Linked DNA regions of Alligator mississippiensis. Each later gene encodes a partner of the first gene's protein in a complex. Links are inferred from orthologs where the notes say so. Each region holds a gene or a part of one and is shown in the gene's direction. Other genes may lie near its edges. The genes, in order: CNOT1, NANOS1, ZFP36 and DDX6.

What was found.
Region 2: the proteins of CNOT1 (region 1) and NANOS1 are in contact, whole or in part, in a crystal structure (PDB 4CQO), measured with the Homo sapiens proteins. The link is inferred for Alligator mississippiensis from reciprocal best matches to the Homo sapiens genes CNOT1 and NANOS1. Residues at the interface, in NP_057368.3 of Homo sapiens: Ile2327, Ile2330, Lys2331, Trp2338, Glu2350, Phe2353, Gln2354, Val2356, Ala2357, Met2361; in NP_955631.1 of Homo sapiens: Phe40, Ser41, Ser42, Trp43, Tyr46, Leu47, Leu49, Thr51.
Region 3: the proteins of CNOT1 (region 1) and ZFP36 are in contact, whole or in part, in a crystal structure (PDB 4J8S), measured with the Homo sapiens proteins. The link is inferred for Alligator mississippiensis from reciprocal best matches to the Homo sapiens genes CNOT1 and ZFP36. Residues at the interface, in NP_057368.3 of Homo sapiens: Gln821, Glu835, Asp845, Ala848, Asn849, Phe852, Gln853, Tyr856, Asn894, Glu897, Glu898, Phe901, Gln904, Tyr905, Pro906, Glu909; in NP_003398.3 of Homo sapiens: Arg314, Arg315, Leu316, Pro317, Ile318, Phe319, Arg321, Ile322, Ser323, Val324, Ser325.
Region 4: the proteins of CNOT1 (region 1) and DDX6 are in contact, whole or in part, in a crystal structure (PDB 4CRW), measured with the Homo sapiens proteins. The link is inferred for Alligator mississippiensis from reciprocal best matches to the Homo sapiens genes CNOT1 and DDX6. Residues at the interface, in NP_057368.3 of Homo sapiens: Glu1097, Ala1100, Phe1101, Phe1103, Asn1104, Asn1105, Leu1106, Ser1107, Ser1109, Asn1110, Lys1114, Lys1137, Arg1138, Ile1141, Glu1142, Asn1144, Phe1145, Leu1148, Tyr1149; in NP_001244120.1 of Homo sapiens: Phe329, Ser330, Arg331, Leu332, Gln333, Ile334, Asn335, Gln336, Leu357, Gly358, Tyr359, Ser360, Leu384, Arg386, Asn387, Ala402.

Annotation. Positions count from the first base shown.
Region 1 is NC_081833.1:39,165,367-39,173,349, reverse strand, and holds the start of CNOT1 (CCR4-NOT transcription complex subunit 1), read left to right. Parts: upstream 1-4,981; 5' UTR 4,982-5,084; intron 5,085-7,983.
Region 2 is NC_081829.1:87,817,736-87,824,584, reverse strand, and holds NANOS1 (nanos homolog 1), read left to right. Parts: upstream 1-4,788; 5' UTR 4,789-4,853; coding exon 4,854-5,546; 3' UTR 5,547-6,348; downstream 6,349-6,849. UniProt on the Homo sapiens protein: May act as a translational repressor which regulates translation of specific mRNAs by forming a complex with PUM2 that associates with the 3'-UTR of mRNA targets. Capable of interfering with the proadhesive and anti-invasive functions of E-cadherin.
Region 3 is NC_081838.1:1,300,801-1,308,274, forward strand, and holds the start of ZFP36 (mRNA decay activator protein ZFP36), read left to right. Parts: upstream 1-4,469; 5' UTR 4,470-4,697; intron 4,698-5,669; exon of another isoform or gene 5,670-5,790; 5' UTR 5,791-5,937; coding exon 5,938-5,973; intron 5,974-7,474. UniProt on the Homo sapiens protein: Zinc-finger RNA-binding protein that destabilizes several cytoplasmic AU-rich element (ARE)-containing mRNA transcripts by promoting their poly(A) tail removal or deadenylation, and hence provide a mechanism for attenuating protein synthesis.
Region 4 is NC_081839.1:35,214,621-35,222,479, forward strand, and holds the start of DDX6 (probable ATP-dependent RNA helicase DDX6), read left to right. Parts: upstream 1-4,853; 5' UTR 4,854-4,961; intron 4,962-7,011; 5' UTR 7,012-7,269; coding exon 7,270-7,469; intron 7,470-7,859.

The DNA of each region.
Region 1 (7,983 bases):
CCATAGTGCCTCTGCCTGACCTTCCTCTGCCCCAAAGCTAATTCTTGACAATGTGAGTTGCTCTCTGACATAGAGGGCGACCCCCCCCACCTTTCCTCCCAGTCCTGTCCCTTCTATATAGTGTGTATCCCTGGAGTAAGGTTGGAGTGTTGTAGCTGTGATGGTCCAGGAAATGTACAAGAGACAAGGGTGATCTGTTTTTGGTGATCTCTTTTATTGGACCAGATGTATGGAAGCTTATCAAACATCTCTCCCAGGTATACAGTTGGTCCAATAGAAGAGATTAAAAAAACCCTTTCCTTAGAATCAGTAAGGCCAAATTTTTCAGAAGTTCTGTGCCACTGGCTAGAGGGTCAAAGAAGATTTGAAGGCAAAGTGGATTCTCCAAGCTCACTGGTTGCCCCCAAGTGTTCCAAACAAATATTGCAAGTGTGGCTGCAGCCAAGGAACACTAGGCAAGAAGCCTGCCTAGTAGGTAAAGCAAGGAATAGAGAGAGGTGAGATGTGGATCTCTGAGCAAGACTGGTTTGGGAAATGAGGAATCCAGTGAAACAACTGCATCTACTTGGTTTCAAACAGTTCCTTTAAAACAGCAGTAGGCAACATTTTTTCAACAGTGGGTCAGAATGACCCAGCTCAGGTCCAAGGCAGCTGTGCACTAAGACCCAGTAGCCACTGCTGCTGCTTTCCCTGCTGTTTGGGCCTAGTACATCACAAGTGAAGCTTCCAGCAGCCCAACTACTGTGCCACAGTGCAGGTAAAGCCCTGTGGGCCATAGGTTGCCAACTCCTGATTTCAATCATTATACTAAAGGCAGAAGAAGGTTTATTGGATGCTCAACTATTCTCCAACTGGTCTTACAACAACCAGGTTGTCCCTTCTGCTTTTTAGGAAAGCTTTGCAGATCAAGCAGTGCAAAATGGAGCATCAGTTATGTCAGGCGATTTATATTATCGGGCTACGTTGGCGCCCTCCACTTCCAAGTCAACCTCCTCTCCATAGGGTGACTATCACTTCAAAAGGGGAGGGTGGGACACATGCCTACCTTCCTCCTCCCTCTGCTAGCACTACTAGACCAGAGCCAAGTGGAGCAGGGGGAGGATGCAGACTGCCTGCTGAGGGCTCCAGGCTCCCTGCCCTGCTACCTTTCCCTCAGGAGCCCCACACTGGACAAGTGCCTCCTGCCTGCCCGGCAGCAGCAGGGGACATAACTCCATGCTGCTGCTGCCACCCCCACTGCTGCTGGGCAGGCAAGGGGCGCATCCCCATGACTAGCGCAGTGTACCTGGGGGCAGGGCATCAGGTTGGGGAGCCCCGAACCCACAGTGAGCAGCCTGCATCCACCCCCACCCCATGCACGAGTCTGGGGGGTATGTGCCCCCCACCCATGTCTTTCAGCTCAACAATTTCATGTAGCAATTAAAAATGTAAAAGCCAATAGGAAATTCCCCCTTTCCCATCCTCAAATAGCTCTTACAGATTCATAGACATTAGGGCTGGAAGGCACCTTGAAGATCATGAAGTCCAGCCCTCTGCCCCAGGAGCAGGAAGTCAGCTAGGATCAAAGGATCCCAGCATGATAAGCATCCAAACGTTTCTTGAATGAGTCCAGAGTAGGTGCCTGCACCACTTCTGGAGGGAGTCTATTCCAGGCCTTGGGGGCTCGGACAGTAAAGAAGTTTTTCCTTGTCCAGCCTAAAACAGTCATGGAGGAGTTTATTGGTCCTTGCTATCTTTTGGGGTGCTCTGGTGAACAGACGTTCCCCCAGATCCTGATGCACATCCCTTACGTATTTATAGGCAACCACAAGATCACCCCTGAGCCTGCACTTTTCTAGGATGAAGAGTCTCATGGCTCTCAGCCTCTTATCATAAGGCCTATTCTCTTGCCCTCTGATCATGCGCGTGGCTCTCTTCTGGACTCTCTCAAGCTTCTTGGCATCCTTCTTGAATGCTGGAGCCCAGAATTGGATGCAGTACTCCAGCTGCAGCCTTGCCAAGGCCAAGTAGATTCATAGATTCATAGATTGTAGAGTCGGAAGGGACCACAATGGATCATCGTGTCCGACTCCCTGCCCCTGGCAGGAAAGAGGACTGAGGTCAGATGACCCCAGCCAGGTGACTATCTAGCCTCTTCTTGAAGACCTCCAAGCTAGGTGATAGCACCACCTCTCTTGGAAGCCCATTCCAGATCCTGGCCACCCTTTCTATGAAAAATGTCTTCCTAATATCTAACCTAAATCCACTCTCAACTAGTTTACACCCATTATTCCTAGTCACTCCCTGGGGCGCCTTAGTAAACAGCGCTTCCCCTATTCCCCGTTGACCTCCCCTAATAAATTTATAGGCGGCCACAAGATCTCCCCTCAGCCATCTCTTGTGAAGGCTGAAGAGATTCAGCTCTCTCAACCTCCCCCCGTACTGTCTATCACGAAGGTCACTAACCATGCGAGTGGCCCTCCTCTGGACCCTCTCCAGATTCCCCATGTCCCTCTTGAAGTGCGGCACCCAAAACTGGACACAGTACTCCAACTGCGGCCTGACCAGTGCCACATAGAGGGGAGCATCACCTCCTTTGTTCTATTAGTCATGCACGTGCTAATGCACGACAAGGTGCGACTGGCCTTGTTGATGGCCTCGTTACACTGTACAGCGGGAGGATGACATCCTGAGATTTACTTGAGAAGCATCTATGGATGCAAGCCAGAGTTTTATTTGCTTTACCAGCTGCAACATCACATTGGTGGCTCATGCTCATCTGTGGTCAGTCATGACTCCCAAGTCTCTTTCAGCTGTGGTGCTAGCAAGCGTAGCACTGCTGAGCCTATAAGTGTACTGCGGGTTTTTTTTCCTTGCCCCGAGGTGAAGTGCCTTGCATTTTTCGGTATTGAACATCCTCAGGTTTATATCCTCCCACTTACTAAGCTTATCCAAGTCAGCCTGGATCACTAGCTGGTCCTCAGGTGTGGACACTATGCCCCAAAGTTTAGTGTCATCAGTGAACTTGGCCAGTGTGCTTCTGACACCAATGTCCACATCGTTGATAACAATGTTAGAGAACCAGTCCAAGGACAGAGCCTTGGGGGACACCACTGGTCATGGAGCACCATAATGATTCACTTCCATCAACTACTATTCTCTGGGTCCCAGACATCTGACTGTGGTGTAGCCGAGACCGCAATAGTCCAATTTTTCTATGAGATCATGGGACACCAGATCAAACGCTTTTTTAAAGTCCAGATATATGACATCAATCTCTTCTCCCTTGTCCAGGTGATATGTCACTTGGTCATAGAAAGAGATGAGATTGGTCAGGTAAGACCTACCCATGACAAACCCATGCTGGCTGTCCCTCAGGCTGTTGCCATCAGCCAGCTTATCAAGGGTCTCTTGTTAAACCTTAGATGTTTGAACAATTTTTTCTATGCCATGAGCACACTGAGCAAGGAAATCATGAAGGAACATTCCCTCCCAACACAATAGTTTGTCAAGTGTTAGCCTGGTGCCACCGTACCACCTGCTTTACTTCACTCCCTCATTGAATTTAATAGTACTGTCACCCTCAAGGCCTACATCAGAGCCCTGATTCATGCTGCCATGTTCCTACCTGTCCCTATGTTATTTTGTTACAGGGCTGATTCCAAATACATACTGCATTTAGATTGAGCACCTCACCTTTTGCCCTCCAGGCATTTAAAAATGGAAAGAAAAGGGAGCTGTATGGGAAACCACAGAATCCCAGAGAAGCAGGGCTGGAAGGGAGCTCCAGAGGTCACCTAGTCCAACCTCCTGCCTGAGGCAGGATCATCTCTCTCCTGTTAAGGGGGCTGAGTTAGGTTTACACCACCTGCTTTGTTGGCTGCAGGATATCTTAAATGCCCTGCTGCTTTTCAGGTGTACTTTCAGAGTGGCATTTTCCAGCCCAAAGCAATGGGTAGGATGTCTGGCTCACTCAGCTCCACACCTGGCAGATCCGACACTGATGCCTGGGTAGGCCTGTTGCCACCTTTCAGAAACCGGGTGATGAACGGGGCTGGCATAATCCTGAAAGTCATTTGGTTCAAGCCCCTGCCCGAGCCAGCCCCGCGTTAGTCGCTCTGCTCACGTCCAGGGACGGAACAGAGAGCAAGGCAGCAGCACACGGAGGACCTGGGCTGGCGAGCTGGGCCGCTTTGCTGCCACGTGGGACGTCGAGGGGGCGTCTCCAAACCTCCAACCTGGGCCGCTGGCAGCGCAGCCCGCACAAGGCAGCCGGGCGAGCCGAGGTCACGTGATGGAAAAAGGCGGGGGAGATTGTACCACGGGGTGTGGGGAGACGCGCATGCGCCATGCCACTGTGAGACATCTGAGTGGGACTAATGGGGCAGTGAGAGGACGACGGGTTGTACCACTGCACAACGCTGGAGGGCGGACTGTACCACTGTAATCCAGGAAGAGGCAGGCCATGTGCACAGGCGTCGGACTGTACCACTGGGCAGCAGGGAAGGGTCTGAGTGGAGCGTGAGTCGGTGCTGCCCCTGGCGGGGGGGAGGGAGCTGACAGCCCCTTCCAGCCCCTGCTGTCACCGACGCCCAGCTCAGCCAAACTCCGCTATCATTAGCCGGTACTGCGCACTCAGTTTCCTACTCCGCCGGCCAACCAGCCTCGTTTACGCAGGCGCTAAGGGTTAAAGTCCTTCCTTGCTGAGAGCTGTTTCGTGATTGGCTAGAGGGACGGAAGGCGTGGTGAACCTTCCCAGCCAATCCGAGCCCGCCGCTAACTCCGGGGTGGGGAGGGGGAGGAAATGTGTGTTGGACTTCCTTCCCCCCCCCCCACTTAAGCAGCGCCCTTCTCTGATTGGACGGATTCCGGGCGCGAGGGCGCTAGCTCTGTGCGGCGATTGGGCGGGCTCGGCGTACACAGGCGGAGGGGCCCCGCCCGCTGCGTGCCGCGAGGGGACGGGGGAGGGGAAAGGCCGCGACGTGAGCGCGCGACCCCGCCGCCATTTTGTATTGAGCCAGCGGAGGCGAGCGGCGGACACAGGCAGCGCGAGAGGCTGAGCAGAGCCCGCTCCAGCCCCGGCCCCGCCCGCCCCCGCGCCTCAGGTGAGCGGCCGGCCGCGGAGGCAGGGGCCGCGGGGCGGCACAGGTCGGGGGCTGCAGGCCTAGTGTAGTAACACCTAGGCGGGACCCGGCGGGAGCCGATCGCGGGCGGGCGGGGCCGGGCCGGGCCGGGCCGGGCGCGTCCCGTGGAGGGAGCGTGGCGTAGGGGCCGGCGCAGAGCTTCCCGCAGGGGGAGCCCCAGGCTCAGGCCCTGAGGCCCGGCAGTTTCCGGGGTCAGCAGCGTGCGAGACTGCGCAGGCTGGTCTCTTCGCTGCTGTCTGGGCGGGCTCTGGCGGGGAGGGGAGTGAGTCCAGGGCCGTCCCGCCGCCTGCAGGCGCCAGGGAGAGTCCCGGAGCGGCTCGGGCTCCTTTCCCCCGCTGTCCTGCCGCGCGCGCGGCCTGCGTGCGGGCCGGGGGCCCGAGAGTGCCGAGCGGGTTGAATCCGGGCCCCGATGAGTGACCCCTGGCGGAGAGCCTCGAGGCAGCGCGACGTGTGCCCGCTTCTCCACGGATCCACTCGTGGCATCGAAGTATGCCGGACTGGCGCTAGTTGGCCATTTGGTTCAAAGGTCCCGGTTTTCTGCTTGTGTTTTCTTGTTTAAAAAAACAAACCTGAAAAGCAATTTTGAATAGGGGTTTTCTGTACACTTTAAGTATATGCATCATTTTCTTGTGGTAAGCTTTAGCTTTGTGGAGCGTGGAGGGGGAAGCGTTCAGTATACAAAACAGCAGGTCACTGGGGAAAAAATACATTGGGCAAAACTTGCTCTAAGTAGTCAAACAAATCTAGTTCATTCTTAATTGACACCTGAACCCTTAGCATTTCATTTTCCTTTTTCCTCTTTAAGCCCTTTCCTGAAGACTAAACTTTTGTGGATCACAAGTTACTTTTCCCTTTAAAAGATCTTAGCATTCTGGACATGTTAACTTTGACTCCTGTGCAAGCAAATTGTGGGCTATTACATGGTAACTTATAGTCCAGAGTTTAGAAGACAGGGTTGAAGCCATATCTCAGCCTGTTGAAAAAACAAATAAATACCTAAACAGTGGATTTGGTTGTTAAACGAGACTAATCTGAAGATGTGGCCCTAGTTATCCAGAAAACCAGAAATGGCAGCACCATGCACCTGGACTTCTAAATTTGTCACCCAGTTGAAAATGTGGAAAGAAGTTGCGTAATTCCAAGACTTGCTTATTTCGGAACTTCGTAGGATCTTCTTAAATGTAGTTTTATTTTATATGTGTATTTATAATTCCAGGCTCTTCTTTCTCTAGGCCTTGGCATAAAGCAGGGACTATTAACCAACAGCTTGTCTAAGGTTTGGTTGTGTTAATAACTACAGTAGGAATGAGCAGATCTTAAACTTATTTAACAGGTACAAAAGCTGATGCTTGTGTGACATAAAACATGCACTTTAAAATGTAGAAGTGTCAAGTTTTGTCTCTTTAGACACTATCTAGTCTGAGCTCTGCTCTTAAGGAGTATGGTAGGAAGCACGACAACTCAACAACAGCTGTCAGTATCTTTTGATTCCTGTTTCCAAGGTAACTACAGTATCTTGGATTGATGAAACTTGAAGCAAAATTAGTCCAGATGAAGTAATTAGCTTGTGAACAGGAAGTCAACTTCGTTACATAGAAATATGCTTTTCATCCTCCCTCCTGGACATTTATTGGGTGCTGTCCTCAACTTCTGTGTGCATACGCTTCTACAACTGACCCCCTTTCATTGCCAGAGCACTTGTTTTGATCTCCCTGTATCTTTCTTGGGAGGGAGACTTGCTTCATTCTTTCAGAGAGTAATTGATTTAAAATTTCTCATCTGGGAATGAAATGCTAACATGGCTATTCTTATGTTTCAGGCATAAGAATAGGTAGTGTTAAATAAAGCAGAGTAAGATTACCTTGCTGCTATTGAGGGGAAAAATGTAGTAAAACCTTGTGATGTAATGACTAGTTATCAGTAAACCCATAATGCTGGGAAAACCAGAATGGAGAAATGTAGTTTTACCTCAGTGCTCGGGTTTGTTTCTATATGCAGTTAACATTGAAGGTTATATTGTTGTTATGGAGGTTTTCCTTTAAGCCATGTTATAACATTTATTGCCAACACTTGGAAAAAACACTAGAGCTAAAAAAATAGAAGTTCTCTTTCCTGGCCTCTTAAAGATGGGTTTATGATTCCCTTACTGACTATGGTAATCGGAAGAAACTTTAAAACTTTTGTTTGACTGAAATGAAAACAGGTAGTGGATTTATCCTGGAATTCTTTATTGTGTCACATTTTCAAAAACTTGAAACTACCAAAAAGTTTCTTTGCCATGATGTATTCCAAGAAAAGCAGCTAGAGAATGAGGCTGACTAGCTGTGATTGACTTCTAACAAAAAATGCAAGGTAGTTGTGTTTAGAGAGAGCTTGTGGCTGAAATGTAACCCCCCCACCCTGCACTTACATGTTGACTGCTGAAACTGTACTTGTTAAATAGCTTGGGGGGCGGGGGGGGATGGGACATAACAGATTTTTAGCACTTATTTTAAGTGAGTGCTCTCATGCAAGTTGAGTTAGCTCAATTGTTTATCTGTATAGTTGTAATGTAAAATAAATCTGTCATTCTAGAAAATCCAGATAATTTGGTTCCGGTTAACTGAGATTGTTGTGACTTGCTAACCTGTAAACAATATTTGGTTCAAATCCAAGATGCCAGTAAAATTAATCAATAACTTAGGTCAAGTGATGACAGTTCAGGTATGCAGTTTTGCTTACCCATAAATTTTAAAAGCAATAATAGTTTTACAGTGTAACTTTCATGCAGGTATGTGTCAGAGCTTTGTTTAAAGTATTCTAATGTGAATGTTAGCTAAAATGTGTGAAGTAGTCTCCTACACATGAAAGGAAGTCAAGT
Region 2 (6,849 bases), on another chromosome or scaffold:
TTGTACAGATACCGTACATCTGAGAGCCTAGCACTAGCAAGGAACACATTCATTTGACATATGGAACATGAAAGCTTAATTTAAAGCAATTATAGGGAATATTTCTCTCAACATATTTCATGTACATGTACTGTCAACACACATTAGCTGTCAGAGTGCCAGAGGACACGAGGTCAGTGCTACTGCAGTGATAACAATAGGTCTCCATCTTTTATAGCAGTTCCATAGCAGAAATACTTTTCACATTCCTCTGCTCTTCGTAATGCTCCCCACACGTGGTAGGAAGGCACAGAATGACCTAACCAGCCTTTTCCCTTTCTGACTTTGATACTTGCACCCAAGCATTACAGCACAAATGGCATAAGACCATTTGCTTTTTGAGACTGGCTGCTATCAACAGCTAAGTAAAAAGAGAATGAGCAGGGAAAGCTAGGACTTAACAAAGGTGCTGCCCTCCTGAAGACCTGATTTAGCTGATGGCTTTGCCATTTCCACTGACATCAGTAGAAGCTGCAGGTGTTTGGCACCTCTGAAAATCAGGCCATTAATTTGTGCTCAGAGAGGCAGGCAGCACCTGTATGGCTCATTGAATATACCCTTAAGGCTTCTCTTGCTCTAGCATAAAATGTAGCAGCTTGAAACAGAACTAGACACAAGGCATGATCCTGCACTATTGAAAGCAGGTCAAAATGTCCATTGAGTTCAGCGTGCAGAACCTTCCCCTGTGGTGATAACAGCTCCGCTGCTGTAACACCCCAAAAGAGTAACTATTAAAGCTGTTAATAGCTCCAGCAACTACAATCATATGAATAGGCCCTTTGCAAACAATACACCCACTTAAAAGCCCACTTCAGGCTGCCACCAAATTGCCAGAGTGTAATGAAAATCGGGCCCTCAAGAGTTATTTTGATATTGCAGTTTATTAAATTTCAAAATTTAAGTTGCAAACAAGCCACATTAGAATCCTTGTTTAATTGCCAGGGAACTGTCTGTCAGATACAAGCAAGGTCCTGGTGACAACTGGCAAGATTTATTTCATTAAAGGTAGCTGAACCTGCTCAGTTTAGCCCTACCATTCTGACCTTGGGCTTGAAATTAGTGATATGTTTTAACTGCAGTTGTATTTCTAAACCCTCTTATTCAAAATTAACATTATTTGTTTGACAACCCATTTGAGAGTCTGATTTCTATAAGCCAAATTCATCCATACCACAACAGAACACAGCCCTTTCTCAGGATCTGATCAAAAGCCTTATAAAGTTTGGTATTATTATATAATATTATAAAGTGTCGTAAAGTGGTATTTTATTATTGATCAATAGTATTTATTTGTACCGTGATAATGCTCAGAAGCCCAGTGACGCACCAAAAACGGTCTCTGCCCCCAAGGACTTCACATTTGCAGTGGGCAAAGCATGCACTGACATAGAGAGATCTCTGTCAGACTGTTACTTCCCATCAGTCAGAGACTTTTTCTGGCACCAATGAAGTTGCATACCTGCACCAACTTCCTGCAGACAGATGTTAAGGAGGAAATGCAAGCACCCAAGTGATTAGATGACACCTTCCAGAGCTGCACTCTTCCCATTAAGGCATCTTAGTTTCATAGTAGGTAGGGTCAGAAGGGACCTGAGCAGTCATCAAGTCCAACCCCCTGCCATGGCAAGAAAAAGTACTGGGGTCAAACGACCCCAGCAAGGTGTTCATCTAACCTCCTCTTAAAGACCCCCAGGGTAGGAGCCAGCACCACTTACCTTGGAAGTTGGTTCCAGGTCCTAGCCGCCCTGACTGTGAAGTAGTACTTCCTGATGTCTAGTCTGAATCTACCCTCTGCCAGCTTGTGACTGTTATTTCTAGTCACTCCTAGTAGTGCTCGGGGGAACAGGGACTCCCCCAGTGCCTGCTGGTCCCCTCTGACTAGTTTGTAACAGGCCACTAGATCCCCCCTCAGCCTTCTCTTGTGGAAGCTGAACAGGTTCGGGTCCCATAGCCTCTCCTCATAGGGCCTGCCCTGCTGACCCCTGACCATGCAGGTCCCTCTCAATGCTGTCCCCATCCCTCCTGAAGTGCGGTGCCCAGAACTGGACGCAGTACTCCAGCTGTGGCCTGACCAGTGCCGCATAGAGGGGGAGGATCACCTGCTTGGACCTGCTTGAGATGCATCTGTGGATGCACGACAAGGTGCGGTTGACCTTGCTGACCGCATCCCCACGCTGTAGGCCTATGTTCATTTTGGCATCAATAATGACTCCAAGATCCTTTTCTGCCTCTGCAATGACAAGAAGGGAGTTCCCCAGCCTGTAGGCGTGCTGCTGGTTCTTCCTCCCCAGGTGCAGCACCTTGCACTTGTCAGTGTTGAAACCCATCTTGTTCTCATCCACCCACCCCTGTAACCTGTCTAGGTCCAATTGCAGCCTATTCCTCCCTTCTAGCGTGCCCACATCCCCCCACATCTTAGTGTCGTCAGCAAATTTGAATAGGGTGCTTTTTACCCCCTCGTCCAAGTCACTGATGAAGATGTTGAACAGCGCAGGTCCAAGGACCGAGCCCTGGGGGACCCCACTGCCCACATCCCTCCAGGTCAAAAATGACCCATCCACCACTGCTCTCTGGGTGTGGCCCTCCAGCCAGTTAGCGACCCATTTTTGATACAAGGGAAGTTGCCAATGATTTCTGCAGCTGCAAAAATCTCTCCCAATAGATTTTCTACCTCAGGCCACAGGATGAGGCACCTAGGCCCAGATCCTCAAAGGTATTTAGGCACTTAATCTTCAGAACAGGTGTGAGTATATATATACAGAAAGAGAGAGAGAGAGATAAATATGTGTCTTCATGCTCCTTTAAAAAAAATCATCATTTCAGATTTACACCTAACAATATTTTTCAGCACAATAGATCTTTTTTTTTAAATCCTCAGTTAGCCTCAAGTAGGGTTAGAAACCAAGTAGCAGTGTTGCAAGTGATGCTTCTCTCCTGCAAGACAGCTATAAACAGCAGGCGGCCAGGAAAAGGCCAACTGTAATTAAAAGCTTTATTTTTAAAGCTATTTCATAGGACTTTTTTTCATGGCCGGCTGGGCTCCCAGTTCTTCTCAACTATGCTGGGCAACCTGAGTTGTGGAGTTTCTCAGTTATATATATATATTGCTATCCCTCACTCTTCCTTTTAGTTTATATTGCATGTACATGTGACAACATTTGTGGGTCGTAGGAACAGTCAAGTCAGACTCAAGCTATGCTCAGGTTCTGTTGTGCACCTTCCAGAGCAGCTTATCTGAGCCCCACCAACTAGTGAAGTTCCTAGTTACCCTACACAAACTCTCTCATATTTGTGGCCTTTTGGGGTAAAATTGGTTTGGGGTAGAATCAAACACAGCAGTTTTCTAAAATCAGAAAGCTCTACTCATCCAGAAAGTACCCGACTCTGGGGAGGCATCTGTTGTCCAGTCACTGCCCCTAATACCGCTTGGAATAGCACGGTTATGTGCGAGAGTCCAGGTGAGGATGTTTTTCGGGTGCATAACCACAGGTGGATCCAGGGGGTGCAGTGGTCCAGTTGCACCCTCCTTTGATTCCTGGTATACCTAGAATTTAAAACCAGCTGCCAGGCAGCAGCATTTCTAGTCTGGCAGCAGTGAGAGACTCAATTGACTTCATGGCTCGTTCTAATCTACTCAATTCTTTAAAGAGTGAATTCCACAGGTGTGAACAACCTCTCTCCTTTTTCACTGTTTTCATGTTCTGCTAATCAAGCTGTCATTTCTCACCAATTCTGCTGCCTATTAGCTGCTCCTGGTACCCAGCTACTATTTAAGAGCATTGTAGACCCTCCTTAACTCTAGCTAAACCCATTCACTCAGGTGAAAATTAGCTCAGGTGTGGAAATAACTTCCAGTGAAGCGTTCACTGGACCCACTGCCAAGATGCTGATGGAGACATTTAACTCTCATGAGGACAGGGCCAATGAAACAGTATGTTTTGATCCTGTTTTGTTGTGTTTTTCCTTTCTCTGCATAGTGGAAAATAAAAGCACGTTCCAAAGAAAAAAGCCTCATTTCTGCTTCCATTTTAAAAGCAATGATATTGCCCTTGGCCCCTGTCCTATTAGCAAAGCAACTCTTTACTTCTGTTTTAATTGGGGAAAACTCTATGTTGAGAGTTGTGGGATGACGCACAGGCAAGGTTCTTCCAATAGATGTGATCTCTTTTATTCCGCCAGCTGAGTAGTTGGGAAAAAATTCTTACCCGGCTTTTGGGTGCAATCACCCTTCTTCCAGCATAGGGAGTCCCTTGCTGCTCAGAGACTCCAAGGACTAAGAGAAGCTAAAAGTGTGGAGGGATGTCAGTGAGAATGTAAACAGGTAGCAATTAGAAAAATACAAGATAAAGGGGAAAAAAAACCCAAAGATGAGTAAGGGAGACACTGCAGCACTTTCCACATCCCACTTTTTAGAGCCCCCCCATCCACCCCGGACTCCACGGGCTATAAAAGTGTTTGCACCGAATCTAAAAACAAAGAGAGACACGACCTATTTAGAAGCAACAGCTGCCTACAGAGCGACCCTGGCCCCTCAGCTGCCCGCTAGACCCGCATCCTCTGCGGCCAGCCCCAGAGACAGGGACTAAACACACCGCGGCGAGAGCCAGGCTCCACCTGCGCTCCGGACCCTGCCTACGATGGAACGCCGCCGCGCGCCGCAGCCAATGAGGGAGCGCGGCTAGGGGGGCCGCCTTGGCCGCTGGCCAATTACAGCGCGGCCCTTGGGCCGAGCCGCGCCCTCGCCCCCGAACGCGCCTACTAGAGCGGCGCGCGGGCGCAGCGCGCACAGACGTGCGGGGCGCTGCAGGCTGCCGATGGAGCCGGAGCAGCGCCCCCCGGCCGTGGAGTTCGTGCCGGGCGGCCGCTGCGGCGCCCGGGGCCCCGGCAACGCCTTCAACTCCTGGAACGACTACCTGGGGCTGGCCACGCTCATCACCAAGGCGGTGGGCGACGACAAGGGCTTCCGCGCCGCGCCCGCACCAGGAGGGCCGGCCGCGGAGGACGAGGACGAGGAGGACGACGAGGAGGAGGACGAGGAGGAGGCGCCCTACTTCGAGGGCGCGCTGGACCTGCACGCGCTGGAGCTGTGCGGCCACCGCGGGCTGCTGGAGGAGCGCTTCGCCGCCTGCCGCCCCTGCCCCGGCCGCGCCGGCCCCGCCGCCGTGCTCCTCGACTGCGCGGCCGGCCGGCGGGCCCGGGCCCGGGCGCGCTCGCCGCCGGGCTGGGGCTGGGGCTGGGCGGCGCCGCCCGCGCGGCTGCTGAAGCCCGAGCTGCAGGTGTGCGTCTTCTGCCGGAACAACAAGGAGGCGGTGGCGCTGTACACCACGCACATCCTCAAGGGCCCCGACGGCCGCGTGCTGTGCCCGGTGCTGCGCCGCTACACGTGCCCGCTGTGCGGGGCCAGCGGGGACAATGCGCACACCATCAAGTACTGCCCGCTCTCCAAGGCGCAGGGCAAGGCGCCGCTCAAACACGCCAGGACCGTCTTGGGCAAGAAGCTGCGCTAGGCGGGCCGGCCCGGCCCCGGCACTGCCCGCCGGCACCGGGGTTTTAACGCGGAGCCCCGCAGCCGGACTCGGAGCGGCGCCCCAGGCTGATGCGGTGCAAGGACTCCGGATGGACGCGGGGTCTGGCCCGAGGGAGGCGCAGGATGAGCTGATGCTATAGAGGGTGGGTGGGGTGGGGTGGGATGGGGGGGAAATCTATATATCTAATTTTAAACAGAGAAGAGATGAGTTTAAAGAAATGTGCCGAGGACTGGATTTGAGAAGAGGGTTTTTTTGGGGTGGGGGGGGGTTGTTTTTTTGTGTGGCTTTTTTGTTTTTTTAATCTCAAACGTTTCGCGGTGGCGCCCACCCTCCTTCCCTCCCTCCCTGGTCTTACGGCTTCCCGGAGCCGAGGGAGAGTGCTCTGCCATGGGCTGGAGGGGGGTGGCACTACCCGGCCCGGTGGTTGTAAGTAGGTAGGTAGGTCGGTCCAGCGGATGCAGTGAGGGCTGCTGTGCGGTGGGGGGTGGGGGATGAGGCCGGCAGTGTCATGATGGGGGGGGTGGGTGGGAGGGTGAGGAGCTACCGTGGTCGCTCGCCAGTTGTTGTTTGTGTTTGTTTTTTAAATGAAATCTGGGTTTCATTGTACTGTGTTATTGGAGGGAAGGGGTCTAAAATCAATGCTCCCCCCTTTCATCCATCCCCTGTTTTCCCCGGTTGGTCATATCGCCTGTACTGGCCACAGCTGGCAATAGAGCTGTTTGGATTTGGGGGTTTTTGTTTTTGTTTTTATACAATGAAAGTAAAGGCATCACAGACTTCACCTCTGCTGCCTCTGTCTTGTTTTCCCCACACCCGCACCTGGACCTTGCATCTGTAGGCGAACTGCTCCCTCCCAGAGATGGGTCTGGGAGCTGTAATGGCCATACCTGCAGTTGCCCTGTGCTTCATGAGGAGTGGTCTTTATTATTTTTTTTTATTATGTTTTTTAATACATGTTGTTCAACTGGAGAATTTCTGTGAAAGCCACAAAGTGGTGAATTCCTCTCGGTGAATAAGGTGCCAAGCCCCTGGCTGTCCTTCCCCCTGACAGATTGTTGTGGCTCCCACGAGCTCAGCTGCTTGCTGCTCATCCTTTTTTTTTCTCCGTAAGTAAACAGAAAGCTGCTGTTTTGAATCCTCCTGGAGGAAAGAGAGACTTGTAAGACCTCATTTAATGGAAAGAAGAAGGGGAAATGCGCCCTCTGCTGCCCCATCTCAGTAGAGGCTGCTTGGGAAGTGAAACAGGCTGCATCTATCTGGTGACTTCTTTTACTCCACAGAG
Region 3 (7,474 bases), on another chromosome or scaffold:
GTGGGGGGGAGGCAGTGACGGCTGTTTGCAAACAGGAGCCAGGCCACGGCGGCTCCCCGTGGGCCGCTGACCTCATTTCCTGCCTCTATTCTGGGCGGCGGGCGGGGGGCACGGCAGGGGACAGCCTGTTCCCTGCTGCAAGCCGGGGCTTTCTGGGGCTGCTGGAGGCCATTTCCCCCCCGTGCCCCCCCCACCCCGGGGGCAACAAGGGGCAAGGAAGGGGCTGATCCCCCCCAGGTGGAACAGGCAGCCCCCTCGCAGGAGATCCCAGCCCCCCCATGCGAAGGGCTGTAACTGTGATGGGGGTCGGGGATTGTGGGCGTTTGCACACGTGTGCGAGCGTGGGGTGCAGGCCCCTTGGAACGGGTCGGGGCCCGGGAGCCCGCGCGCCTGGGGGCCCTGTTCCTGCTCTGGGAGCAGAGTGTCCTCGAGTCCCCTCTGGGCACCAGCGGTCGGGCCTGACTCACCCCGCCACTTCCCCGCCGCTGCCTCGGTTTCCCCACCTGCCCCTGGCCCCGGTCCAGGTTTCCTGGCACAAACACGCCGGCATTGCCAGGGCAACGGCTCGTGTTGTCCTGGCACCGGGTGCGAGAGCGCAAAGGCCTGTGTCAGCATTGCCGGGGCTGGCGCTGCGCCTGTGCCCACGTCACCGGGCCCGGGACTTGCCCAGCGAGCGGGCTGGAGGGGAACCCGGGCCCCCGGGAGCCCTCCCATCCCCACCCACCAGGGCAGGGACCCCCAACCCCCTCCCGTTAGCACCGTCAAGGCGGAGACCCGGGTGCCCGGACCCCCCATCCCCACCCACCGGGGCAGGGACCCCCAACCCCCTCCCGTTAGCACCGTCAAGGCGGAGACCCGGGTGCCCGGACCCCCCATCCCCACCCACCAGGGCAGGGACCCCCAACCCCCTCCCGTTAGCACCGTCAAGGCGGAGACCCGGGTGCCCAGACCCCCCATCCCCACCCACCGGGGCAGGGACCCCCAACCCCCTCCCGTTAGCACCGTCAAGGCGGAGACCCGGGTGCCCGGACCCCCCATCCCCACCCACCAGGGCAGGGACCCCCAACCCCCTCCCGTTAGCACCGTCAAGGCGGAGACCCGGGTGCCCGGACCCCCCATCCCCACCCACCAGGGCAGGGACCCCCAACCCCCTCCCGTTAGCACCGTCAAGGCGGAGACCCGGGCGCCTGGACCCCCCATCCCCACCCCACTACAACGGGGAACCCGGGCGCTCGGGCCCCTCAGTCCCCTCCGGGCTGGCCCCTTCCTCCCCCAGTGTTTACAAGCAAGCGCCACCACGTGAACCACACGCGTGTGCGCACGTCATGGCTGGCGCAGCAGGGGGCAGGGCCAGCACACCCCTGCTCCCTGTGACCCCATTAACTCTCCCTGTGCCCCCCCGTCCCCTAGCGGGCTTCACATGCCACTTCCCGTGCGAGAGCGCTCGCACGCCCGGCTGGCGTCACAGGGGTTTTCACGCCCATGGAACGGGGCTTTCAACAGCCTGGAAAAGCAGAACCAAGCGGGCAAGGCGCCGAAGGGCTAGGGGCAGGGTGGGCACCGGGAACTCACTGGTGCCCCCTCAGGCAGCGCCACTGGCAGGGCCCCGTGCCCACCTCAGTCACAAGCGTGTGCAAGCCCCCAGGCTGTGTGCGTAGGCCTGAAGCAGGTGCTCCCTGCCCCCCATGTGCTGAGCAAGTGTGTCCTGCGTGTGCGCACGCAGCAGGTGCCCGCCACATGCTAAGCATGTGTGTGCTGCACGATGTGTGTGCACACAGCGGGGGGCCTCCTGTTGTGCTAAGTGTGTGTCCTGAGTGACACACGTGCACACAGTGGTGCTCCCTGCCATGTGCTAAACACACTTGTCCTGCATGACACTTGGGCACCCACACTTCTCCCCCAATGTGCTATGCACGTGTCCTGCATGACACGTGTGCATACTGGTTGCATGATTCAAATGTGTATGAATCAACATGCATGTGCACACGGCCTGTGCTACAGCGTGTGCATGCACTCCCTCGCCTGTGTGCAGGCCCCCAGGCATGTGCACGCCCCATCATTTTGCCCCATGCCCATGCACACGTGCTCACACAGGCGCTCACCTCTGTGCACATGCTCTTCTGTACACACGCCTGTCACATGTATCACATGCAACTGCCCCCTCTCCACATGCATGCACAAGGCAAACCTGGGACACATTGATGTCCACATTTGTGCGTGCACATGCACGCACACACATGTGATGCGCCTCCCTAGCACAGGCATGCATGTGTGCTCACTAGAGACACACGGAAGATACGCTCACAACACTCACACACACGTGCACAATGGAGGCAGGCGGAGGCTTGTGTGAGGGGCCCTGCTCTTTGCCTGTGGATCTGTGAAAAGCCTCGCACGAAAGGCCCTGTCTACCTCTGGGTCTGTGCAACTCCTCTCACAAGGGGCTTCAATCCCTGCCCTTGGAATCAGTGCAAGCCCTCGCACGAGGGCCCTCAATCCCTGCCCTTGGAGTGAGTGCAGGTCCTCGCACAAAGGGCCCCAACCTCTGCCCTGGATCTGTGCAAAGCCTCGTACGAGGCCTCCCGGTGCTGGCCCCCGAGGCCAGGGGCTGTGGCGGGGAGCGGGGGCGCGGGCCGGCTGCCTCTCGATGCACCAGCGCTGGGGACATTCCCGCTGCCCAGGCTGGGAGCAGGGGAATTCCCAGCTCCGGCTCCGGAGCTGCCTGGAGCAGGAAGCCGGAGCCGCGCCTGGTTCCTGGAAGAGGAAGGGCCCCCCACCTCTCCCGGGGGCTTCCCAGAATTCACTGCTGTGCCAGGACTTGAGAGGCCTGACAGCGTGTGTGCAGCTCCTGGCACCTGAGCAAAGGGCTGGGCTGTGGTTGTGCAGTTCCTGCCACTCATGTAAGGCACTGGGTTTGTGTGGGTGCAGGTCCTGGCACATGTGCAGGGGACTGGATTGTGCATGTGCAGCTCCTGCCATGCGTGCAAGAGGCTGTGCTCTGCGTGTGCAGCTCCTGGCACTTGTGCAGAGGGCTTGGTTGTGCACGTGCAGCTCCTGGCACTCGTGTGAGGGGCTGTGTGCGTGCAGCTCCTGGCACTCTCCTCCACTCACTAGTGCCCCTCGTGTGAAGGGCCCTGCTCTGTGCCCCAGGCCCCAACTCACTGGTGCAGCTATTGTGTGAGATGCACACCCCCTTGGGCTGCATGGCAGGAGCCCAGTCGTGCGAGTGCTGGGCCCTGGGCAGCGTGTGCTCACGAGCATTGTCCCACGGATCCGGCCGAGGGGAGAGGAGACCAGCGGCCTCTGCCCTTTGCCTCCGTCTCCAAACACTCGTGGCCCCGTTGTACAACGTGGCCCTGCGCTGGGTTCGGGGTCCGGAGGTCACAGTGCCTTTCCCAGCACTAGTGCAAAGGGCAGAGCCATGCGTGCGGCTCTGGACACTCATGCAAGAGGCAGAGCTGCGGGGTCGTGCATGTGCACGAGCCTTTCCGGTGACTAGCGCAAGGGGCAGAGCTGCACGCCCACGAGCGTGTACAGCGCCAGACACCCCTGCACAGGGCAGCGTGTGGCTCCTGGTGCTCGTGCCAGAAGCAGAGCTGTCTGCCCACGTGGCTCCAGATCCTCGTGCGAGGGGCAGAGCAGCGGGGCTGCGGCTGTGCACGCCCGTCCAGCCACTAGTGCAAGGGGCAGAGCCGCACACCTAGAAGCGCGCGCAGCTCCCAACACTTGTGCAACAGGCCCTGCCTCAGTTTCCCCCGGGAGCCAGGGCAGCCGGGCTCTCGGTACCGTAGTGCACCTAAGCCCCGCGCCGCCCAGCTCCTGGCTCCGCCCCATGAGCTCATTGTTTGCCAGCTCACCTGGCCCCGGCGCGGCTTAACCCCTTCCTGCCCGGGCCCGGCCTCGTCCCCGTCCCCGGGCCGGGCCGGGCAGCGCGGGCGAGTGGTTAGAGCAGGGGAGCCGGACTCCCTGCTGGGAAATGCCCCGTCGGCGGGGGGGGAGGGGACTGGGGGGGGATGAGTCACGGGGGCGGGGCTCATTGTGTAACCCGGGACCGGCGGGGGGGCGGGGCCTTCCCTGATTGCGTCACCGCATTCCCAGCACAGGCGGCGGCTCGGGGTCGGGGTCGGGGTCAGGGTCGCGGGGGGAGCCCAGGTGTCCGGCAGTCCCAAGCCTTTCCCTGCCCGACTTGCCCCCCCGCCCCCCCGACCTCACTGGTTTGGGGGGGGCACCCGGCTATTTATAGCCACTGGCGCTGACTCAGCCCCCCCGTCTCCCCACGCCCCCGTCCTAGATCCCGATCCCGATCCCGGCTCTTGTGAAACGTCGTGATTCACCCGGGCAAAGGGGGGCAGGCCGGTGCCCCCTCCCCCCGGTCACAGCTGGATGCGGGTGCACAGCTGGCGGCAGATGCGGGGGCTGGGCCCGGGCCAGGGGCTTCCCGGGGCGGGCGGGCGGGGCCGGGCTCGGGCTCGTGCTCGTGCCCGCGCCCGTGATTCACTTCCAGGAACCGGGACCTGACTCAGAGGCGAAGAGAAACTGGGAGCACCGGGAGAGGCTGTCCCAGGGAGCTCGGGTGCCCTGTGCCCTCGTGCGAGACACGCTCGCGCTCGCACGGGGGCTGTGTGCGGGCACAAGCAGCAGTGCGGGGCGGGGGGCAGGCAGCTGTTCCCCCTGCGCCCCCCCGCACCAAACCCCAGGTACCCCGAGTGACCCCCTCGTGCAACGCACGAGGAAGCAGCGCCTTGCACGGCCGTGCGAGGGACAAGCGGGCCCCCCCACCCCTGGCTTGATGATGGCACAGTTGTGAGCTCCCCCCGCGCAGGGGGGGGAGACCCCGGGGACTACAGACCCCCCTGTCCCGCCTCCCCGCGCGGAGCCCAGGAGTCGTGGGGAGCCTCCGGCCTGCTTCGTCCAGCCCCGAGCGCGGCACGGGGCACCGCTGAGGCTGGGAGCTCCTGGGAGTGGGGGCAGGAGCCTCGCACGTGGGGCAGGAGGCAGCTTGCACGGGGCCTGGTTGGGGGTCTTGCACGGGGTTTGGAGGGGCCTTGCACGAGAGCAGGCAGGGCCCTGGCCTGGTGGTTTGTGCAAGCCAGGGGAGCCCCGGGGCCCCGGTAGTTCCGGGAACGGGCACTGAGTCACCCCCCTAGCCACACGTACGGGCTCCGGCGGCCTCGCACGGGGTGGGGGGGCACGAGGCAGGGAGATGCAGGCTGAGGCCTGGTGCAAACTCATCGCACCCCCGCCCGGCCGGTACCTGAGGGGGAGGGGCAGGGCTGCACGTATTGCCAGGGGTGTGTGTGTGTGTGTGTGTGTGTGTGTGTGTGTGTGTGTTGTGCCCAGCCAAGGGACCATGGGGTGGGCAGGGGACACAGCCCCTCATCAAGGACCTTGCACAAGTGTGTGCGACCCTAGAGGGGTGTGGGAACTTGCCCCCACCCCAGTCCAGCCCTTGTCTGGGGCTGTTGCTGCCCCACCCCAATCCTGATCCAGGCCCCCCTTTCTCTCTTACCCCCCCGTTGCCCCCTCCCCAGGGCTCCCCAGACCCTGGGCCCAATCCTGATCCAGACCCCCCCTTCCCCCCGTGCTGCCCCATCCCCCGGGGCTCCTGTGGCCCTGATCCTGGCCCCCCTTTCTCTCCACCCCCTTCCCCCTCAGCCCAGACCCTGGGCCCAATCCTGATCCAGGCCCCCCCTTTCTCCCTCCCCCCCACGCCCAGCCCTTCCCTTCCCTTCCCTTCCCTTCCCTTCCCCAGGTTTTACCCTATTCTCTGGTGGCTTGCTTTTTTTTCAGGGCCTCTTACAACAGCGATGAGGTCATCGCTGAGGGGGCGGGGCTTCAGCCTATATAGCCCCAGCCCCAAGTGCTGACCCCAGCTTCTGCCTGCTCCTCTCTGGGGGTCCCACTGACAGCGCAGCCCCCAGCCCCCACGGCCACGCCATGAGCTCCCTCCTGGATGTCAAGGCCCTGTGCGAGGTGAGGGGCTGGGGCCGGGGCCCGGCCGGGCTGGGTGGGGCCGATCCTTGTCTTTGCCCCTCCGGGGGATCCCCAAAAGGGGTAAATCTTTGCTGTTACCCCCAGATTGGGCATTTCTTTGCTATTCCCACCCCCCCAGCTCTGCTGCATGGAGGCGACGGGGCTGGCGGGGGGTAGAGCAGATCTAGGGACGGGGCAGAGGGGTAGGCTTGTTTGTGGGGGGGGCAGGTTGTTGTAATTGCCCCTCTATGGTTTTTGGGGGAGGATATTTCTCTGTCTGGAGGGGCTGAGAGTGGTGCGGGCAGGGCTGAGCCCCAGGTCCGGACCCCTCCTTTCCCCCCCAAGGCCTTTACTCCCCCCCCCCCCCCACAGGCTGCCTGGACTCTGCCCCAGCCTGGGTCGGGCAAGGGGATCTTCCTGCCCCAGGCAGGGGGTGATTGGGGTCGGGGAAGGGGGCTCTTCCTGTCCCGAGCTGGAAAGGAAAGTTGGTGTAGGCTGGTGGGGGTGGCATGTATGTGTTTGTGTACTTGTGTGTGTCCCAGATGCCTGGGTTCTGTGTGTGTGTGTGTGTACTTGTGTGTGTGTCCTGGATGCTTGGGATGTGTGTGCATGAGAGAGAGATCTGAACACTTGGGTTCTGTGTGTCTGTGCATTGCCCCTGGATGCTGGGGCGCGTGTGTGTGTGCGCGCGCGTGTGTCCTGGATGTCTGTGGCGGCAGAAAGCAGGTAGAGACGAACCTTTAAAACGAAGTAAATCAGAGATACAGAAGCTGCGTGTGCGCGTGCGCGTGTCTTTGGTGTCGTGTTTGTGCTGGTCTCTGCGTCGTGGGTGTTTCCATGTCATGTATGCACCCCTGTCTCTGGCGTGTGTCTTTCTTGTGTTTGCGTCCATCTCTATGTTGTGCGTCTCTGGCGTGTCAGGTGTGTCTTGTGTGCCTTCCGTGTCACATCTGTGTCTAGTGTGTCTTTTGTGTTACATTTGTGTGTGCGTGTCTCTGGGGTGTGTCTCTTGTGTCCCCCTTCTGTCCCCATCTCTGATGTGTGTGTTTCTGGTGTGTCAGGCACGCACCTGTGCCTGTGTGTGTGTGTCCGTGTCAGTCAGGTGTCTGTGTGTTGTGCTGTGGCTGTGCGTGTTTGTGGTGCTGTTGCTGCCCCCCCACCCCCCCACACACGCTTCCTGCTCTGGGCTATCGCAGCTGATTTTCCCCCCCGCCCCCAGCCTAAGAGGGGCCAAGACTCGGCCGAGGCCTCGTCATGGCTCTTCCCTCCTCCCCGGGGCCCGGCCGGAAGCCGGGCCCAGCTCCAGCCTCCGCTCGGCGGCTTGGAAATAACCCGCCCGGACGCCTGGGTCCTTGCCCCCGGCCCTGGGGTTGGTGGGGGGGGCCGATGCCGCAGTCCCTGCAGGGTTTGGGGTAGTGGGGGCAGTGCTAGAAGCTGCATAGGTGAGGGGGGCACCAGGCCCTGCTGGGGGGCTGGGGCCAAGCCGACTCCTCGCTGACCC
Region 4 (7,859 bases), on another chromosome or scaffold:
ACACGTCTTAGCTAACTGTGCACTGGAGGCTGGGCTGTAGAGGCTCTGTGAGGATGCAAGCATGGAGGAAGAAGAGCCCCGGTTGGAGAAGCCAGGTATACCGTGCATTGCAGCTCCAATGATTTAGGCTTTATTCTCAGCTCTGTGCACGGCCTTCTGCAGGTTCCTCTGTCCTCCCTATGCCTCTCTTTCCCCCCTGAGCAAACCAGCGATCATGGTTTTGATAACCTTGATAAAGCACTTGGAAGTCTGCAGTCAAACAGCCATCTCAAAGCCTGTGGTGTTAATTGGAAATGGAGGGCTGAGCACTGGGAACCTGGGGCTGGAAATCTCCCAGAAATGAGAGCTGCGGGGCAGCCTCCCCAGAGGCAGAGCAGAGGCCCCGTCCCAGAGGCACCAAGTAAGCGTTTGTGGCTGTCCTGTGGGCTCAGAGGACAGGATGAGACAGAGCCTACCACACCACCCTCTCTACACTTGTCATGCTTAGGTGGCGGGCTGCTCAGCTACGAATTGTTTAGACCCAGACAGACCCAGACCCCTTGCTGCAACCAGTCTTCTGCAGACGCAGGCGGTGCCTGGCTTCTCCACACAGCCCAGCTGTCAGAACGGTGCTGGGAGGAGATGGCCAGCCAGGAGAGAAGCATGACCTGCAGCCTGACTCCACAAAAAATCCCAGCCTCTTTGGCAGCCAAAAATCCAGACGTGGCACCCAGCTCCACAGGAAACAGAAGTGGCGGGAGTGCACATTGGAGGGAACTGAGGAGCGAGGCATCCTTTCCTGCAAGGCCCTGGCAGGACGGCTCGCTGTGATCACGCCCGAATGTCACCAGGCCCGACGGAGCGAGAGGGCGTTCTGCGCACAGCAGTGAGGGGCAAAGGGGCTGTCACCAGTCCCAAGACCGAGCGCATGCTGCTTGCTGGTCAGCAAAACATGCTCTGCAACCTGCGGGGGAGAGTTCAGGTCGGGTGAGCGATTTGCTGCTGCCAGAGTCCAGGCTCAGTCCAAACCTTCCTTCTGGAAGAGCATGGTGGGGATCTCGGCTGCTTGAACAGGAGCTTTGTCACCCTGGCCAGCTCCCTCTCTCTGGCCTCAGCAAAGGACAGCTATTTATTGAAAGAAAGATGGTATATAAGGTTGGGGCGAGGAGGGGAAGGACAAGGATGCTACCCAACTTTATGTTTAACTCAGCACTGGTATTTCCCCACAAGGTATGAGTTAAAAAGCAGCAAAGCCATTATAGGAGATCTAGTCCTGAAAAACAATGTTGGGTCAAGCAATAATAAATGTATTTGGTTGTATTTTAAATGCAAGAATAAACAAAAGTAGGTCTTTAAGATTAAGATACTCCATTTTTAAAGGGAAAACATTGAGAACTAAGATGAAATAAGACAGTGGTTTTCAACCTTTTTTCATTTGCGGACCCCTAAAAACATTTGAATGGAGGTGCACACTCCTTTGAATTGTAGGGGTGGGTATTCACGTACTTTTGACCATACTCATCTTTTGCAGACCCCCGGGGTTGAAAACCACTGAACAAAGAGAACGAATGAGTGGAATTAGATGGACTAAAGAGCTCAAGGACTTGAATGCAGAAGCGTGGAATTTCTTTACAAGGCAGGTGCAAAAAGTATGGACCTCTTATCCCAGTGGGGAGAAAACCTGGCTCCAGTCCAGCCTCCCAGAAGAGGTATTAGGCACCAAGAGAGAAGCTATAAAGAATGGAAAAAGGGCTGATTGACAAGAAAGCTGTGTCTTAGCTATCAGGAAATGTAAGGATAAAAATAAGAATTGCCAAAAGTCAAGCTGAGTTAGACCTTGCAAAGGAAAGAAATAAAACCACAAAGCAAAAAAAATTTCAGCAAGGAAAAAAATGGAGCTGAAGAAAAGCAAGAGTAGAGCTGCTATGTACAGAGGTTTAGGCAAGTTAAAGATAATCCAAAAATGACATGTACTTGTCTCAGTTTTCATTTAAGCATGTTGCTGTTAGAAATGTTGCTGTTAGTCTAATAGAAATGAAGACATGGAAAGGGAAACTGCCACATTACGGGTGGGAAAGAAAATCAAGGCGCTAAAAGTGCTCGAGTGATGGGGACTAATAATCTCCATCTCTGAATTCTGAAAGAACTAGCCCCTGACATCCCAGGTGTGTCAGCGAGGATGCTACCGAAAGACCTCTGTCAGCAAGGAAGTTAATGTCTCAAGTCTGGGATAGTACTGTGTGACTGGAGAACGACAGATTTAGTACCGGCATTTAGGAAGGGTGGGGGGCGGTGGGGGATAAGGGAAGGGAGGTATCAAGGTCTGACCTCCATAGGATGAAGCTTTCAAACAATGTTTGAGCAAAAGAATAGAAAACATAGATGTAAATGGAAAGTGAATACAATTGAACATAGGTTTGCCAGAGGTTGATTTTGGCAGGGGAGCCTAGTACTTTATTTTTTTGGTAACATAACCAAGGAAACCCAGGAGATCTAATCTATTTGGACCTTAGTAAAGTGTCCGATATGGTGTCACTTAGGAAACTCTTAGCTGAAGCAGAGGAAACAGGGATCTGTAGAAGGACTGTAAGGTAGATGAGGAACTGACTAAAGAGAAGACAACGGGTAGGTTTTGAAAGAGGAGGTCTGGGGCCGGAAGGCCGGTTACTAGTGGAGTTCTGTAAGGATAAGTCCTGGAATCAGTCCTATTTAAAATCCATTATGAGTGACTTCAGCAGAAAATAGTGAAAGTGTGCTAATGGATTTCACTGTCATCCCAAAGTTGCGAGGCAGCTTCAATACAAGTGAACAATATGGGTCAGATAGAAAGAAGTGGAGGAGCTTATGGACTGGAGCAATAGAAATGGGATGACATTTAATAGTAGAGTGCATGGTCATGCACTTAGAGACTAATAACAGGAATGTCTGCTAGAAGCAGGGGCTCATCAGTGGGAAAGGACAGCAGAGGAAAAAGATCTGGGTGTTTAGTTAATCATGGAATGACAGGCACCAATGTGAGACAGTTTGAAAAAGTCAGATGCTATCCTAGACTATCAGAGACCTGAGAAAGCGTACATTGGTACCTGGAAGCCTGTGTCCTTCCCAGCTAGACAGTTAGTTCAATAAAAGATATCACCCACAAAAATTCTTGCCTGGAGAATATATGAGACAAGATATTTGCAGTTGAGCTAGGGACGTACCAGTGTCATCATACAAGACGCACGCGAGACTTCCTTAGAATACCATGCACAATACTTGATCATCCGTTCACTGAAAGATTAATTAAAACTGCAATAGATGCGTAGAAGGGTCACAAGGATGGCCGTGAAACTGGGACTGAGGCCCTGCCAAGTGTGTGTCGGTAGGGGGGGTTCTCTCTGTCGGATACTTTGCTGGTACTATAAGTGGGACAGTGGGCTTGTGGTGTGCAAGACCCCAGGATAACAGGCTTTGTCCCATGGGAAAGCTGAAGCCTGAGTTTGTCTTATTGATCCTGGCACAACAAAAGCTGAGGGAATAGGATTTTGCCCTGTAAATAAGCTAGGGGGTAAACACGGGGAGGGAAAGCGATCTGAAACTCCAGGACAGCGTTGGCTCTGAAACAAACAGGCATGAACTGGCTGTGGATTATTCCAGTTTCTAACTGTTGCAGCACTGAGGTTCTGGAACAGCTTCCCGGTCAGGGCCGCAGGGCTGAAAAATACTGTTAAGGTGGGCACGATTGTTTCATGAAAGGGGTGTTGTGCCATTGCACCTGCAAGAGTAGGGACTGGACGCGTCCTGTCGGGGCTGCGCTCACGCACGTGTAATTCGGATTCTCCACGCTCCTCTTGAAGTGGGAGAGACTGAAACTCGGTGAGAGAACGTGACCTGCCTGGTCACACGGGGCCAGCCCTGCGCCTTCGCCTTCACCTTCTTCCGTCTTCTTTTTGTGCCCGAGTAGGGTGGCACATGGCACCGCAGACAGACCAGCCTCTCCCCAAGCAGGGGGGCCGGCGGCACCGCACCTTGGGAGGAGGGAAACGTTAGGGTGCGAGAGGGAGGGCGCGCAACTGCACGTCCCAAGGCAAGAAGGGCCGGCGGAGGCAGGGGCCGTGGCAGCCCCAGGCACGGGAGCCGCACGGGCCGACGCGGAGCGGAGCGGGTCTCCTGCCGCCGTTGAGCCCCCCGCTGGCAGGGCAGCGCGGCCGGGGCGGCTCCGGGAAGCGCCGGGCGCGGCCCCGCTCCCCACGCAGCCGGCGCCCGAGCGCGCGGCCGGGCCAGGCGCGTCCGCACCGCCCGGGACGGGGTTCCCGCTGCGCGGGCCTCGTGCGGGAAGCGGGCCCGGCCTGCGCCCCCGCCCGCCCGCGGGACGCACCGTGGGAACGGGCCGGGGAGCGGCAGCTGCACGTCCCCGGGGCCTTGGGAAGGCCCGGCCGGTTCCCCCGGGAGCTGCAGGCGCGTGGCGTGCGGAGCACCTGGGCGGGGGCAGCCCCGGGGCCTGTGCACCAAAACAAGAACTGAAAGCGGGAGCGAGACGCATGCAAAGCAGCGCCGGCCACGGCCGGGGGCAGCGGCCAGGCCCGCGCGCTGCCCTGCGCTCCCCGCGCGGCCCGGCCCGGGCCCTCGCTAGCGCCCGGGGACTCGGCGGCTCCCGCTGCCGGGGGGGCCAGGCCGACCCTGCCGGGCCGCGAGCGCCCCTAGCGGACACTGCGGGGCTCGGGCGAGGCGGGGCCGATGCACGTGGCAGCAGGCGGGCTCGCGGCGGCGTGACGTAGCGGCGGGGGCGTGTCGCCGCAGGCTGGCGTAGCGGGGCGGGGCCGGCGGCGTGACGTGACGCGACGTGACGCGCGGGGCGGGGCGGCGGCGCTGAGGGGCGGGGCGGCGGCGCCGGGAGGAAGGAGGAAGCCGCCATCTTGGAGCGTCGAGTCGCCATAACAAGGCACCGAGCGGCGGCGGCCGGAGGATTTTCTACCCGGGCGGGCGGGGCGCGGCCGGCGGCGGTGAGCGGGGCCGGGCGGGCGCGGCGGGCTGCGGCCTCCCCCGCGGGGGCCCGGGCCAGGCTGGGCCGCTCGGGCGCGGCGCTGCGCAAGGACCGGGGCCTGGGCCGGGCCCGGGTGGGGAAGGGGCGGGCGGGAGGCCCCGGCCCGTGTCCGGGCTGCCCGCGGGGACGGCGCCCGGCGGCGGCCCATTGTCTGCGGGCGCCCGGCGCTGCGCAGGCAGCTCCACGGGCGGCGCGGCCCGGCCCGGCCCGGCCCGGCCCGCCCCGCCGGGGGCGCCGAGGCCCGGCAGCGGGAGTGGAGCCGCCGCGCTCCTTTGTCTCCTCGGGATGCGGCGCGTGGGGAGGAGGACGCCGGGCCGGGCCGGGCCGGGCCGGGCCGGGGCTAGGGGAGAAGCGGCCGGGCAGCGCGTGGCGCCAGGGTGCGGCGGCTCGTGCCGCGGCGCGGCCTTTGTTCGCGTCCCTGGTCCGCCGGGCCCTGGTCTCGCGGGGGCGGGGGGCTGCGCGTCTCGCCGCGCTTCTCCCGTGACGGGGCGCGCAGGGCTGCCTGACCGCTCCGGCCCGGCCCGGCCCGGCCCACGCTGCTCCGCAGCTGCCTCCTGCATGGGCGCCCGGTCCCCGCGGGACTGCGCTTGTGTTTGCTTTGCACACGTGAAGTACCTGCAGCTGAAATGTGCAAGGAAGAAATTCTCGCCAGGGCTTAGTCCGCGTGTCTGGCAGAACCACAGTCACTTGCTTTAGTTCACTGCCCAGATCAGCTTTAGTCTGTGCTCTGGAAGACTAATTGGGGAAAATAGATATTTTTTTAAATTTGGAAAATTCGTTTGTGAAATGAGAGATGGCAGAAGATTCAGACAGAGATTTTGCCCTTTTAAGCATGGTTATATTTGAATCTTGTCGGTGGGTTTTTATCGCAGGAAGAAGGCACGTACCTGTCATAAACAGCGTGGGGCGCGCGTTGATCAACAGGTTCCTTCTGTTTACACTGGCTAACTAAAAAGTGCGGCAGTGCAGTGACACCGAACCTGTACAGCTACCCTTGCAGGTCTTGTTTTGAAAAGGTGGTAGCCCTTTAAACCCCTAACTTCATGCTGCAAATTGGGGTCCTTTCATCCCTGTTTATTTAATAAATTCATTTTTTTTCTACCTGCAGGGTGCAAATTGTGGGTGTGTGTTAAGCTACTGCGTTGACTAGCTTACTATCGTTACCTTCCCAATGCTATGCTCCTACGTTTTACATTTGTTTTCTATGTATCCTCTGAGGACACCATGTGTTTGTTCATTTACTGGCATTTTGAAGGTAACAGGAAACTAGTGATCTAAAACAAATGCATCTTATTTCTAATTTGAGGCAGGTACTAAGTTAACCATTAAAAATGTCTTCTAATTCTGAAGTAGAGTAGAGCCAGGAAGCTGGCATTGGATGGTTTGGTGTGAGCAAAGCAGTTTAAGCATGTCTAGTAGCTTATTTGTTTAAACCTAAGCCCTGACTTAACAGGTACCCGGGACATCTGTTTCAAATGATCAGTGCACTCTTCTCCCCCCATTAAGATATTAAATTAGTGATTCAAGCAATGGCGTGACTCCCCAGATCCTCCCAGAAGATAAATTTTGTGGTGGTGTTTTCCTGTCACAAATGATTATATGGTGTTAACCCTTTCTTTTGTTCTTCTTCAAAAGCAGCTTTATTGCAAGATGGGTAAAATAGTTGCATGACTTGAGCCTGTGTTGCAGGATGTCTGTCTGCAAAGCAGTTCACATGCAGTATCATGAAAGCAGTAGGATTGTTATTGTTCTTTTTGTTTTGTTTTTCTCTTTTTTTGTTAAGCAGAATTTCACTAGGTGCCAGTAGATGTTAGTTCTTTGTTCAGTTAGAAATAACAAGGGGAGCACTATTCATTGGTGGCACTTATTTTTCATTTGAAGTACTGTGTACTTGTTCTGGAAGTGCTGTCTCATACCAAAAGTGTGCAGTGTCCTGTCAAATATGGAAATGTGAGTTATTTACACCAAAAGATCTGTGTGTTAATTGTGTGTTTTTACTTCTTTTTCAGATTGAAGTGAGTGATTCAGATATAACTCAACTTTGTTAGAGGGCTTTTTTTAAAAAAGTTGATCCACAGTGCATCAGAGCAAGTTACTACTTACTGTTGAGTGACTTACAGGTGCTTGCCTGCATTGCAATAAAGGACTCATATATTGAGCAAGACTTATTTATCTCTTCGTTTTGGAGAGTCTTATAAACTGTTATTACAGTTTCTGTACTGACTTTCAAAGTTTTGAAGTCTAAAAAGACATCTTTAAAAACAAACATGAGCACGGCGAGAACAGAGAACCCTGTTATAATGGGTCTATCCAGTCAGAATGGGCAGCTGAGAGGCCCTGTAAAACCCAGTGGGGGCCCAGGAGGTGGGGGCACACAAACCCAGCAACAGATGAACCAGCTGAAAAATGCCAACACAATCAATAATGGCACTCAACAGCAAGCACAGAGTATGACCACCACTATTAAGTAAGTATTTACGTAAATGTATGTGGTGTTTTAAACAAGCTGCAGATATTGAGGAAAGTTGTTAGGTTTCTTGTGTTGAAGACTGTTTTTTTTATACTGCTATTAATTTATTATAATGTTGGCAATGTGAACTTTGATTTAAAAAAATGGCAGTATACTTTGTTTTCTAGGTTAGTGCTTTTCTCTGACAACTATCTTTTTAACTTACTGGAACCTCTTAATCATTTTATGTTTGGTTTTTTTTCCTTGAGAGCCTTGGCCTCAAGCAGCACCTTGTTTAAATACTAAGTGAGGCAGGGGGAAGATGGGTATCCATGCACTCCTAGGTCAAGGTACCATGCTGTTGCTGGCGGTTTCAAGGTGATGAAACTTAAAGCCATTTTGTTCTGA